Bombyx mori: one gene and its partners. The protein of the gene in region 2 interacts with the protein of the main gene of each other region in a biochemical or structural test. Links are inferred from orthologs where the notes say so. Each region holds a gene or a part of one and is shown on either strand. Other genes may lie near its edges.

What was found.
Region 1: the proteins of Ubc13 (region 2) and ring box protein form a complex in vitro, tested with the Homo sapiens proteins (5 studies listed by BioGRID). The link is inferred for Bombyx mori from reciprocal best matches to the Homo sapiens genes UBE2N and RBX1.
Region 3: the proteins of Ubc13 (region 2) and ubiquitin thioesterase otubain-like form a complex in vitro, tested with the Homo sapiens proteins (6 studies listed by BioGRID and IntAct, with this or other methods). The link is inferred for Bombyx mori from reciprocal best matches to the Homo sapiens genes UBE2N and OTUB1.

What each region holds. Positions count from the first base shown.
Region 1 is NC_085119.1:7,172,431-7,175,520, reverse strand, and holds ring box protein, read left to right. Parts: upstream 1-1,448; 5' UTR 1,449-1,507; coding exon 1,508-1,600; intron 1,601-1,692; coding exon 1,693-1,720; intron 1,721-1,785; coding exon 1,786-1,907; intron 1,908-1,984; coding exon 1,985-2,070; intron 2,071-2,231; coding exon 2,232-2,244; 3' UTR 2,245-2,578; downstream 2,579-3,090. UniProt on the Homo sapiens protein: E3 ubiquitin ligase component of multiple cullin-RING-based E3 ubiquitin-protein ligase (CRLs) complexes which mediate the ubiquitination and subsequent proteasomal degradation of target proteins, including proteins involved in cell cycle progression, signal transduction, transcription and transcription-coupled nucleotide excision repair.
Region 2 is NC_085111.1:2,343,186-2,346,556, forward strand, and holds Ubc13 (ubiquitin conjugating enzyme E2), read left to right. Parts: upstream 1-1,507; 5' UTR 1,508-1,733; coding exon 1,734-2,189; 3' UTR 2,190-2,869; downstream 2,870-3,371. UniProt on the Homo sapiens protein: The UBE2V1-UBE2N and UBE2V2-UBE2N heterodimers catalyze the synthesis of non-canonical 'Lys-63'-linked polyubiquitin chains. This type of polyubiquitination does not lead to protein degradation by the proteasome.
Region 3 is NC_085118.1:933,377-937,686, reverse strand, and holds the start of ubiquitin thioesterase otubain-like, read left to right. Parts: upstream 1-1,498; 5' UTR 1,499-1,591; coding exon 1,592-1,699; intron 1,700-1,796; coding exon 1,797-2,096; intron 2,097-2,813; coding exon 2,814-3,035; intron 3,036-3,869; coding exon 3,870-3,980; intron 3,981-4,295; coding exon 4,296-4,310. UniProt on the Homo sapiens protein: Hydrolase that can specifically remove 'Lys-48'-linked conjugated ubiquitin from proteins and plays an important regulatory role at the level of protein turnover by preventing degradation.

The DNA of each region.
Region 1 (3,090 bases), on a different chromosome or scaffold from region 2:
AACAGCTTTTTACCACTCACTATGTGAACTGTGAAGAACTGGAAACAATGATGGAGGAGATTTCCGAATCTCCGGCTAGCCTTGGTTAATCACTCGTACCCGCTGCTCCGACACGGCAACGCTCGATCCCATATGGCACAACCTACAGACTCTACACTACAGGCGCTAGGGTTAGATGTTTTACGTTATCCACCACTCACCAGAACCTGCGCCAACAGCTTTCTACTTTTTCCAAAGTTGCACAATTCTTTTTGCAAGGAAAAAATACAATACCCGAGAGGCAGTACAAAATGTCTTTGAAGAGTTTGTTAGCTCCAATGCACGTGGTTTCTTCAAGAAAGGCATTAAAAAATTAGCACGGCGCTTGGAGACATGCATCAAAACCATTGCAACTTTTATTGAGAGAAATAAAAAAATTAAAAAATTACTGTGATTAATGGTTTATATACCGTGATCATGGCGCTTTACAAAAAGGCGAAATTCACTAAAATAAACAATCGTGGTGAGAGCACTATCAATAAGATATAGACATAATCAAGTGACTGGGATTATCCATCAACAGCTTGCTCTGAAATATAGCTTAGTTGATTCTGCTGTACCTTATTACTAATACCAACCTCAGCAGCAAATTCTTAAAAATGGTCATGTAACGCTCTACTGGAATCGATCTATTATCATGGATAGGTCTATTGTTGCCAATAAGCATGTTATTGTTATTGGTCTGCACATCGAGCAATTTTGGTTGATATCACCATCCTCATGACGAGAACCTAGTAAAGACAGGAAAGGACAAATTAATAAAATATTTAGGCCTCATTCACGAGACTATCACCATGTGGCATGTTGATTCAACCATCATTGTTCCAGTAGTTTCAGTACAAAGTTTGATAGTGAACATTTTCGTTATCCAGCTGGGTTGGGGTCTGGTACAAAAATCAGTCATTCTTGATACGGCGCATATTGTGAGGAAGTTTCTCACTCTGGAGACCTAACAGCTTGTGTCGTAGACACCGCCATCGGCGACAATAATCGTTTTATGTAGTGTTTTTTTTAAATAGTTTTTGTAATATTTTTTATTTTATTAAAATACCGTATAATTAATAAGATTTAGATAGATAAGATTTAAAAATACAGTATAATAAATAACACTTTGAAACACAATGAGGTGAACACATTCATATCTGGATGCACTATATAGAAAAGTCGGGTGTTAGTGAAATATGTTAATTCCTCTAATTACAAACGATTTTTCGGGAAAGTTTATTTAACAACTTGGCAACATTGTTAATCTGACAAGCCGATTTTTGGCCTAAAGGTCTAGATACCAGGCCATAATCTTCAAAATAAAAAGCCGATTTTCGGTACTTGTAACACTAATAATGTCAAAAACGTCAAAAAACAAATCAACATGAAGTTTTTAAAATTTCGATTCAGCTGTCAAAAACATAATACACAACCTAACAACTCTTGGTTATTTTTTAATAAAACGGGGTAGTTTAATTTGAAAATGGCTTCTGTGATGGATGTTGATGAAGAAGAAGTTGAAATGGCTTCGTCTAGTAGTGGCAAAGGAGATAAAAAAAGATTCGAAGTAAAAAAGGTGAGGTGCCATTTTGCAAACTCATTGTTGAGCTCTTAATATTGAAAATTTCTTTGTTGTTTCTAGTTTTAATGTAAACAATTTTGTTACAGTGGAATGCAGTAGCACTCTGGGCTTGGGGTAGGTTTCTTGATAATAAAGTTTCGTAACCTCTACATCGTTCTGAACATGATTTTGCTTTCCAGATATTGTTGTCGACAACTGTGCTATTTGCCGAAATCACATAATGGATCTGTGTATCGAATGCCAAGCAAATCAAGCCTCAGCCACTAGTGAAGAATGCACAGTTGCTTGGGGTGTTTGTAATGTATGAGTACCAATTTTGGAAAACACAATCATTATTGACTCAAAACTAATTTATTTAATTGCTTGTTTTTGTTACAGCATGCATTCCATTTCCACTGTATTTCCCGTTGGTTGAAGACTCGACAAGTTTGTCCACTAGACAATAGAGAATGGGAGTTCCAAAAGCAAGTACATTTTATAAAGATATATTACCATATATTCCGTATAATACTTTAATATTGAAATTGGTTGAGTGGTAAATAAATCAATGATAAGGTATCAAAACTTGTTCACATTTAATATAGACAAGATATATTCTATTAATAATATATTTATATTTTTACAGGTATGGTCATTAAATGTCATTTAGAAGAGCTGCATCCTGCACAGGAGTTTGACATCTTCTGAACATAGGGAATTAACATGTCAATATCTATTAAGTTTGTAATAATAAAATAACTCTTACAAAATTCTGTATGTGAATTTTAATTGAAAATTCGTTGAAAATCTGTTGTTCATAATAATCTGGCATAAAAATAGTAAACTCCTATGATTATAAATAAAAATTTTACTTAATGGAAGCAAGTCACTCCAAGATATTCTTGCAAGCACGTTATAAATTACAAGGTAAATAAAAATTACATAAATTACTCAATAAAGTATAAAAAGAATTTTCAGAGGCATTTTATTGTGATATTTATTTAATTATTATTTTACAGTCACTAATTTGTTAACATTGTGGAACTTTTCTGATTTTTATACCCATTCCCAGGGAATATCACAAAAGCTAGTAGCCATAACTAGCAAAATATTATTACTATACTGTACCTTAGTAACATAAAACTAGGCTCATTATGATATACCAAATGAAAGTTTCAATGTTCTAAAATATTGTGAACCACATTTAACAGTCTGTTGTAATATTGGTATCCAAACCCCATTTCATTTGTAAATATTTCACAAAATACTTCATATGAATAATGAATAGTAAAGAAACAAATATTATTTTTCATATAAGTCACTGGCAGATATTTTAAAAAATGCTTAGAATCAAGAGAAGTATTAGTCAAAGTACAAAATGCTTACTCAATTTTGGAGATAAACAAGAAATTTACAAACAACCAACAATCAATACCACAAATTTGCAAGCAAATTTCAAGGTTCAGTTCACATTACACTTTGGCTTCTCTTGATTCATTCTAGTC
Region 2 (3,371 bases):
ATTCCTATAGGTAATTTATGAACAGACATTACCCATATCCATATAGAAAAAAAAATTATTTTATTTCACTGCTCCCTTTAATACCGGATATTTTCCATGAATGTTACATAGGTCGTCCCACGTTGGAGACCTTACGAAATACAGATATTTTAGAACCCGAGGAAGAAGAATTTTATTAAACATTGAGTTGTTAGGTATATCTTTATTGTTAATCTTTACACGTCATTTCGGATCCTCCCGATCCACTAACGGTGCTTTTAGGTACTTCAAGCACCGGTCACCGTTCTCGTCGAACCCGTCGCTTGCGACGAAGGGCTCGACGAGTAAACTAACTCTCAGACACAGCCCACTGAGTTTCTCGCCGGATCTTCTCAGTGGGTCGCGTTTCCGATCCGGTGGTAGATTCTGCGAAGCACGACTCTTGCTAGGGTTCGTGTTAGCAACATCGTCAGGTTTGAGCCCCGTGAGCTCACCTACTAAAGTTAGGGTTACGCTGACATAGCCGCTAGGGCTATCAGCTTAGGTAGGAAAAAAAAAAAAAAAGTTAATCTTTTTCACTTAGGTAACTCATACTATTATTGTGTTCCTTGTAACTTAAGTCATATAAATATTAAACAACCATATTAAGATAGTTAAGTTAAATATAATATGTCTATAATATATCGATGATATAATAACCTTATTTGTCATTGATAACGAGAATTTGTCTTAATACTGAAGATTCTACACATAGATGTTCTAAATTTAATGAAACAAAATTAGACATCTGTTGACGAGTAGCTGACATCACGTCATTTTTAAAACTGTATTAGATGTCGCTGACCGCGGTCCTAAGTGATTTTATTTAGATCTGTTCATTAAAATAACATTTTCACAATAGGTTCATAATAAATACTAATTTGTTTACGAGCCTACGTTTTTCACATTTATCATTTTCTGTCAGCTGAATAAAAAATATACGTTTCATAAAATTTTGAACAGCCTGTAACTCTCATTTTTAAAAAATCATGTGCGCCATTCACTCTCGGTAGAAACGTAAGATTCAGAAGCATATAAAACACAAATATAATAAAAAACAAGTTCCGAAACTTTCGAAACAGTTTTAACAACTTTCATGTAGGTTCTCTTCAATTAAACACGCTTTCCTGTTTGGATTTTATATTAAGGGCTGAATACAGTTCTTCCTCTCTACTATTTTTCTATTACTGACATCTTTCATTCTTCCCTTTTTTTTCATAAGCTCTTTTGCGCCTTCTTCTAAATAGATTGAAGTCTGTATAACAAGACAAGTTAGTTTTAGCAGGCTTCAAACACGGCACAAGTTGTATAACAATGTTGTGTGATTCCTATTCAGTCCCAGGTACTCAACCTAGTACAGAATTTTATTCTTTTAATAAACAATTTGTTTTTGTTGTCTTAAACTAATGCATGTTTATTTAAAAGGCTTTTTTCCAGACATCTATATTGAACGCACCCTATTCTAAATTCTACATTTTGTCTATGTTGGTGAAAATCTATATTATCTGTGGTTAAAAAAAACTAAAGAACACTCGCTTTTGTAGTCGCGTTTATTGCAATTTCGTAGATAAAATGCTATTGTAATTCATTAATATAAGGAAACGTGCCTCAACAAGCGTCGTTAACACATTCAGTGCTAATATAATTAGATATTTTATACAATTATATGAGTAATCGCTTCCATTTGACAAACTGCGCTCGACCGCATATTTAAAATGGCAGCCCTACCACGTAGAATAATCAAAGAGACACAGCGATTGATGCAGGAGCCGGTGCCCGGGATCAGCGCAGTACCTAGCGAGACAAACGCCCGTTACTTCCACGTTATCGTGACGGGCCCAGAGGACTCGCCTTTCGAAGGAGGACTGTTCAAATTAGAATTATTTCTACCGGAGGATTACCCCATGTCGGCACCTAAGGTTAGGTTTATCACGAAAATATATCATCCTAATATAGACCGACTGGGCCGCATTTGTTTGGACATTCTTAAAGATAAATGGAGTCCAGCTCTACAAATACGCACGGTGCTACTGTCTATTCAGGCTCTGCTGTCAGCACCTAACCCTGACGATCCGCTGGCGAACGACGTTGCCGAATTGTGGAAGGTGAACGAGAGTGAAGCTATTAGGAACGCGAAGGAGTGGACGCGGAGATACGCCATGGACAACTGAATAGCCGGCACGAGAGCACCGGTGCCGACCGTGCGCGCCACACGACCAACGAGATATCACGACTTATGAGTGCAAGTTATGTTACACATCCTAAACAGAGTAACTTGTGAGAGACTATTGTGGATCAAATTTTTATTATTAGTGGATGAGGGCCGCGGCGCCGGTCCCTTTGCAGTTATCCATTGCCTCACCTTGTTCGCCTCGGAACGGCTAGGCGATCCCACAGATCATTGTTTACCCATTCACATGTAGCTTGGTTACAATATTAGGTATGCATATTTTTTTACTATTAATATGAATAGTGAATAAAGAAAATATACCTGGAGTCTTCAATGTATATATTATGCTGGTTTAAAATTAATTTTGTACAGAAGATAGTTTCAATTTGCAAAGTTTGATTATCTATGCCAGAGACTTATCGGACACAGTCTTACTAAAATTTGATTGTAACATCATTTAACTGATCTCTCATTGAAATGTTTTTTGTTTTTTTTTTTATAGAACAATGATTGCATTTAGGTATAATTTTCACTTTATTAACCACATCGAACATGATTTCACAGTGAATCTTATGTTGTACTATTTACGTCTTGTATAAAAATTATCAAAATAAATTGTATTTATGTAAATTTTTAATTTGGCTTCGTGAGCAACTTCAAAATACATGAAATACAAAAAGCTAACCCATATTTTATTTTTAGTGCAATACCATCACAAAATAGGATTCATTAAATTAAAATAAGGGCCAAACTCAAGTAGCAATTTACAAATTAAAAGCATTTACTGGAATCGCGTTGATACCTTGCAACATGCTCTTATAATATTGAATACATTGGACCAATGGCTATCAAACTCTTCTAAGTAAAGGGTGATTGCTTTATGGCATCAATAGGCATGATGGTTGTCATTACGTTTAAAGAATCTATCAACAACAGTTACAAAACAAACTTTGAAAAATTAACATCTTTTTGAATTCACCTCTACACCTCTGAATTTCAACTAGAAATAAAGTGCTTATCCATTGATCAGTCAGTGGGTATAGGTTTGTTAGTTCATTGAAATTTAAGTAAAGACACAAGTTAACTGAACAGTTGTCATTGCAACTTAACGAAAATGTAATATCAGAAATGTTGATTGAATGATTGTTTCATATTGAATTAAGCAACCGTGATGACATATTGG
Region 3 (4,310 bases), on a different chromosome or scaffold from region 2:
CGTCCAGCGGTTTTGTTTCATTTTCCCATATTTATCCACTTTCACAAATGCCCACTTTAATAAACCACGGTTATTGCATTTTTAAACTGAAAGAACATTAAATTAACAAAAAACAATTGACACAACTTCGTTCATCGCGTTCCCGCCAATACGGAAAGGTTTTTTTTTTAAAGTGGTATCAGTGACTATACATATTTTCGTATAATGTGTAGGTAGAACTGTACTTTATAGGAATGCTCAATATGAGGGTAGTTTTCCAATTACAGCACAAGAGCGCATTATGCGGCATAATGCTCAACTAAGCTTCAGCATAATTCGGCATTGTGCGTCACTGAGTCGCATTATGCTCTGTAATTGGAAAACTACCTGTATTAGCATTATGCCGCATAATGCGCTCTTGTGCTGCAATTGGAAAACTACCGAGGTAACCCACCAGTTTGATTAATGCAATTGGACAGCTTGTTTTTATAAATTGTTGCTCAAACGTAAAAAAAAACGTCCTATATTTACCTTCATTTGGGTTGAAATGTAGGACAGATAATCACCGATAAAAACAAATAGGCCTTTGTTGGATGCTTGGGTTTCTCAATAAAACTTCCACAATCGATTTTGTGCTTGTATTTCCTTTATACAGGTTTTTGTTAATTTAATACGTTGCGAATGAGTTAGCTTGGCACGGCCATTAATTGAAGTGTTTAAAAATTGTGTCGGTGAACATAAATAAAATTTTGTTCATTGCTCCTTAGAAATTCGTAGGCGTTAACAGCTTTATATAACAACGTCAAACATTTTCTTACTTTAGCTCGACTTTTTTGATTAATTTTTAGATGATTAGTCATTTAATTTAATCTATCAATAAAAAATTGTGATTACATGATCGTTTTCATTTAATATAAAAATTAATTAACTATTTCTAGATTGTATTGGTGTAACATTGCAACATCATTACAGCAGCAATTTTTTTGTAGGTACAACAAGTGGAGCCGCCCTTATGGCTTTTATGTTGCAAGAATCAACTGTTACATGAATCGCAAGTAAATCGTTTTGGTATGGGAATATACAAAATCGATAGCATAACACATCTAATATAAAATATTGTGAAAAAAACTGGTTACATTATGGCATTATTTCTTAATGGTAAATAAATTTTAAATATAAACTTATGTTATGTTTTTATTTTCAATTCCTTCATTTTATATTTAATATATTTTATTTATACTTCATTTTATATATTTATTAGACTTCGTTTTAATTTAGTAACATTTTTTTGGAAAGATAGTTGTCCTTCTAGTTTCACGAAAACGAATCGGTGAGCACGGACGCAATGTAGTAGGTAGGTATTTAAACCCAAATGGTTCAATATTCCTAGGTTTCTACAACTGTATTTGTATCAGTGCATGGGTTTGATTAGCACGGCTACGATTTCATTTACGTAGATTATTAATTTCAAGGAATTTAACAGTAGATACTTTTTGTATTAATTTGCCGACGACATTGTCAATCAACTTTTCTGAACGGTAAACGAATGTCATTTTAGTCATTTGTTTTGTTGCAATTTTCTGTCAAAACATATGTCAGTTGTTATTTGAAAATGGCGGATGATGCATCAAGCAGTAGCGGTATTACCGGTAATACGGTTGAAAATTCAATTAATCAAGATGAATTGATAATGAAACAGCAACGTGAAATAGAAAAAGAGGTAATATATATAATATATAACCAGAAAACTACCTAAAACCATACTTCACACTGAAAACATACTTTGAAATTTGACGTTACTGTTTGTTTGTTTTTAGATATCGGAAACAATACCGTTGGTTGGTGAAATTGAAGAATTGCAGACTTTAGAGAAAGAATATAACGAGGATCCGATTTATTTGCTCAAAGTGAAAGATTTGTCTTCGAAATACAAAAGCATTAGACGAACGCGTCCCGATGGCAATTGTTTCTTTCGCGCGTTCTCATACGCATATTTGGAACGCTTACTGACTGATAAGCAGGAATATGATAAGTTTTACGAAATAGCAAAAAATTCTAAAGATATTCTCGTCGCCTTAGGGTTTTCGCAGTTCACCGTTGAAGATTTTTACGAAACTGTAAGTTGCAACATTCTTTTTGTTTTGTTGACAAGGACGTTTCAAGTTTACGGGTTGCGCGCGAGGCCTTGACCGGAGATTATGGTTTTTTCTCAGAAAATAAAAATTTCGCTGTTAATCATCATAAAACTCACCAGAGTATTGATTTGAATAGTCAGATCATCGAAGATAAGTCAGACATGAATATTATAACATTTAATAGAAAGGGAGGTTAGCATAATTATTTGATTGAAAATTATTGGGGGCAATAAAGCGTGGCTGGTTTAAGCAGTTTTAAAAAACCACAAATGTTTATAAAGCCTGGGTGACTGCCTTAAACTGGAATAGGCAAGATCTTAATGGCTTGTGTAGACAATGCATAATATAACAAAGCTTATTATCTAAACACCAGGAAAGCCCAAAAATATTTCCGAATATAAAAGCTATTAGGATAAATCAATTTTAAGTGTTTGATGAAGACAGTGTTTCTAAGTAATACTTGGACCATATAATTAGATACCTTGATACTATAGAGTTGAGACTTGATCTACACGCTTGAAGTCTTCACACTGTCTTCATGTCATCTGGACTTTTTCCTAATATCAAGTAGCTAATAGTTTGCAGACTTCTTTAGACTAATTTGCAGACTTCTTTATTTAAAATATAATTTAAAAAAAGACATTCAACTTTGTCAATGTAAACTAAAACAACAAATCTAATTAAAATTATAATTTGCAGTTTATGGAAGTAATCCAAAGAGTAGGGGAACATGCTGGTTCTACTCCGGATTTGATAGAAACAGTTCGTATGGAGCTTCATGATAAGTTCAACAAGCAGGGATATTCTGATTACATAGTGGTGTACCTTCGTCTTATTACATCTGGCCAGCTGCAGACAGACCAAGAATTTTATCAGAATTTTATTGAAGGACCACGCACTGTTACTGAGTTTTGTAGACAGGTAACAATGACATAAATGTTTTACAATTTATTTATTTACAATAAAAGGATTGTGCTGCAGCATTTAGGTTGTTTTCAGTAACCACTTAACTTTTTGTACCATGTGGTATTTTGATATTATTTGTATTTCTAACATATGTGCAAGTTAACTCCTCAAAAAGGAACATAATTTAAAATAAAGTTTCTGACTTACTGTTGTGATTCTGCTACATAGTAGTCAGGCTTAGTGTTTGAGGGTAGAATAATAATAAAATGTAATAAACACGATTGTGGATATTTGTTTTGTGAGAGACAACAAGGTTATTGTATTTTTTCCCAAAATATTTTTATATCAATAGTATAGTGCACTAGACTTGAAATTGTTGTTATTGCTCATGGTCACTGACATAGTTCGTCTTGAAATTGGTCCCATGCGTATAAACAACAGATTCTACTTAAATTATGGTTCAAACCACATGTTGTGAATTTGTTTATGTAAAAAAAGGTGACCGTATGTTCCCATAGGGAGCGCTCTATACCATTCGGCTTTGGATTGAGCTCTCCTCCACAATGTTTCCCGAGCACTATGACATTTCCCTCTTCAAATGAGAATTGTGGAGAGTGCTTAACGGTAGGCAGCAGCTTGACTCTGCCCCCGGCATTGCTGAAGTCTATGGGCGACGGTAACCACTCACCATCAGGTGGGCCGTATGCTCGTCTTCCTAAAAGGGCAACTAAAAAAATTATTTTTGTAGTATCGTATACATTTACCATGCAGGTGCCTAGGTTCATTCAGTTGGAAAGAGAACCGTGATTCAAAAATATTTTTGTTAGATCTTTTAATTTGTTATTGCAGGAAGTGGAACCGATGTACAAAGAGTCTGACCATATCCATATCATAGCATTGAGTAATGCACTCAAGGTGTGCGTCCGAGTGAAGTACATGGATCGGGGTGAAGGTAGCCAGGTGAGCAATAAAACTTAGATGCTAGTTACCAAAAAAATTTAATTGTTTAATTACAAATTGTAATGTCATTTTAAATTGAAAGCAAAAATATTTAAATCTGTAAAGCAGTAGTAAAGTACCTACTTCAAAATTGTTCATTCATTTCATTTCAATTCTGGTTCAACCAAAAGAATAACCAGTTTCACAGAAAACTAAAAATATCCTAATCTCTATTATGTTTTGTAAATAGAACCGTGTTAAAAAAAGTAATTGAAGAGCATATTTTTTCTACTTGCTAATGTGGTAATTAGTAAATGTCAAAATTTTTTATTGCAGGTGATAGCACATGAT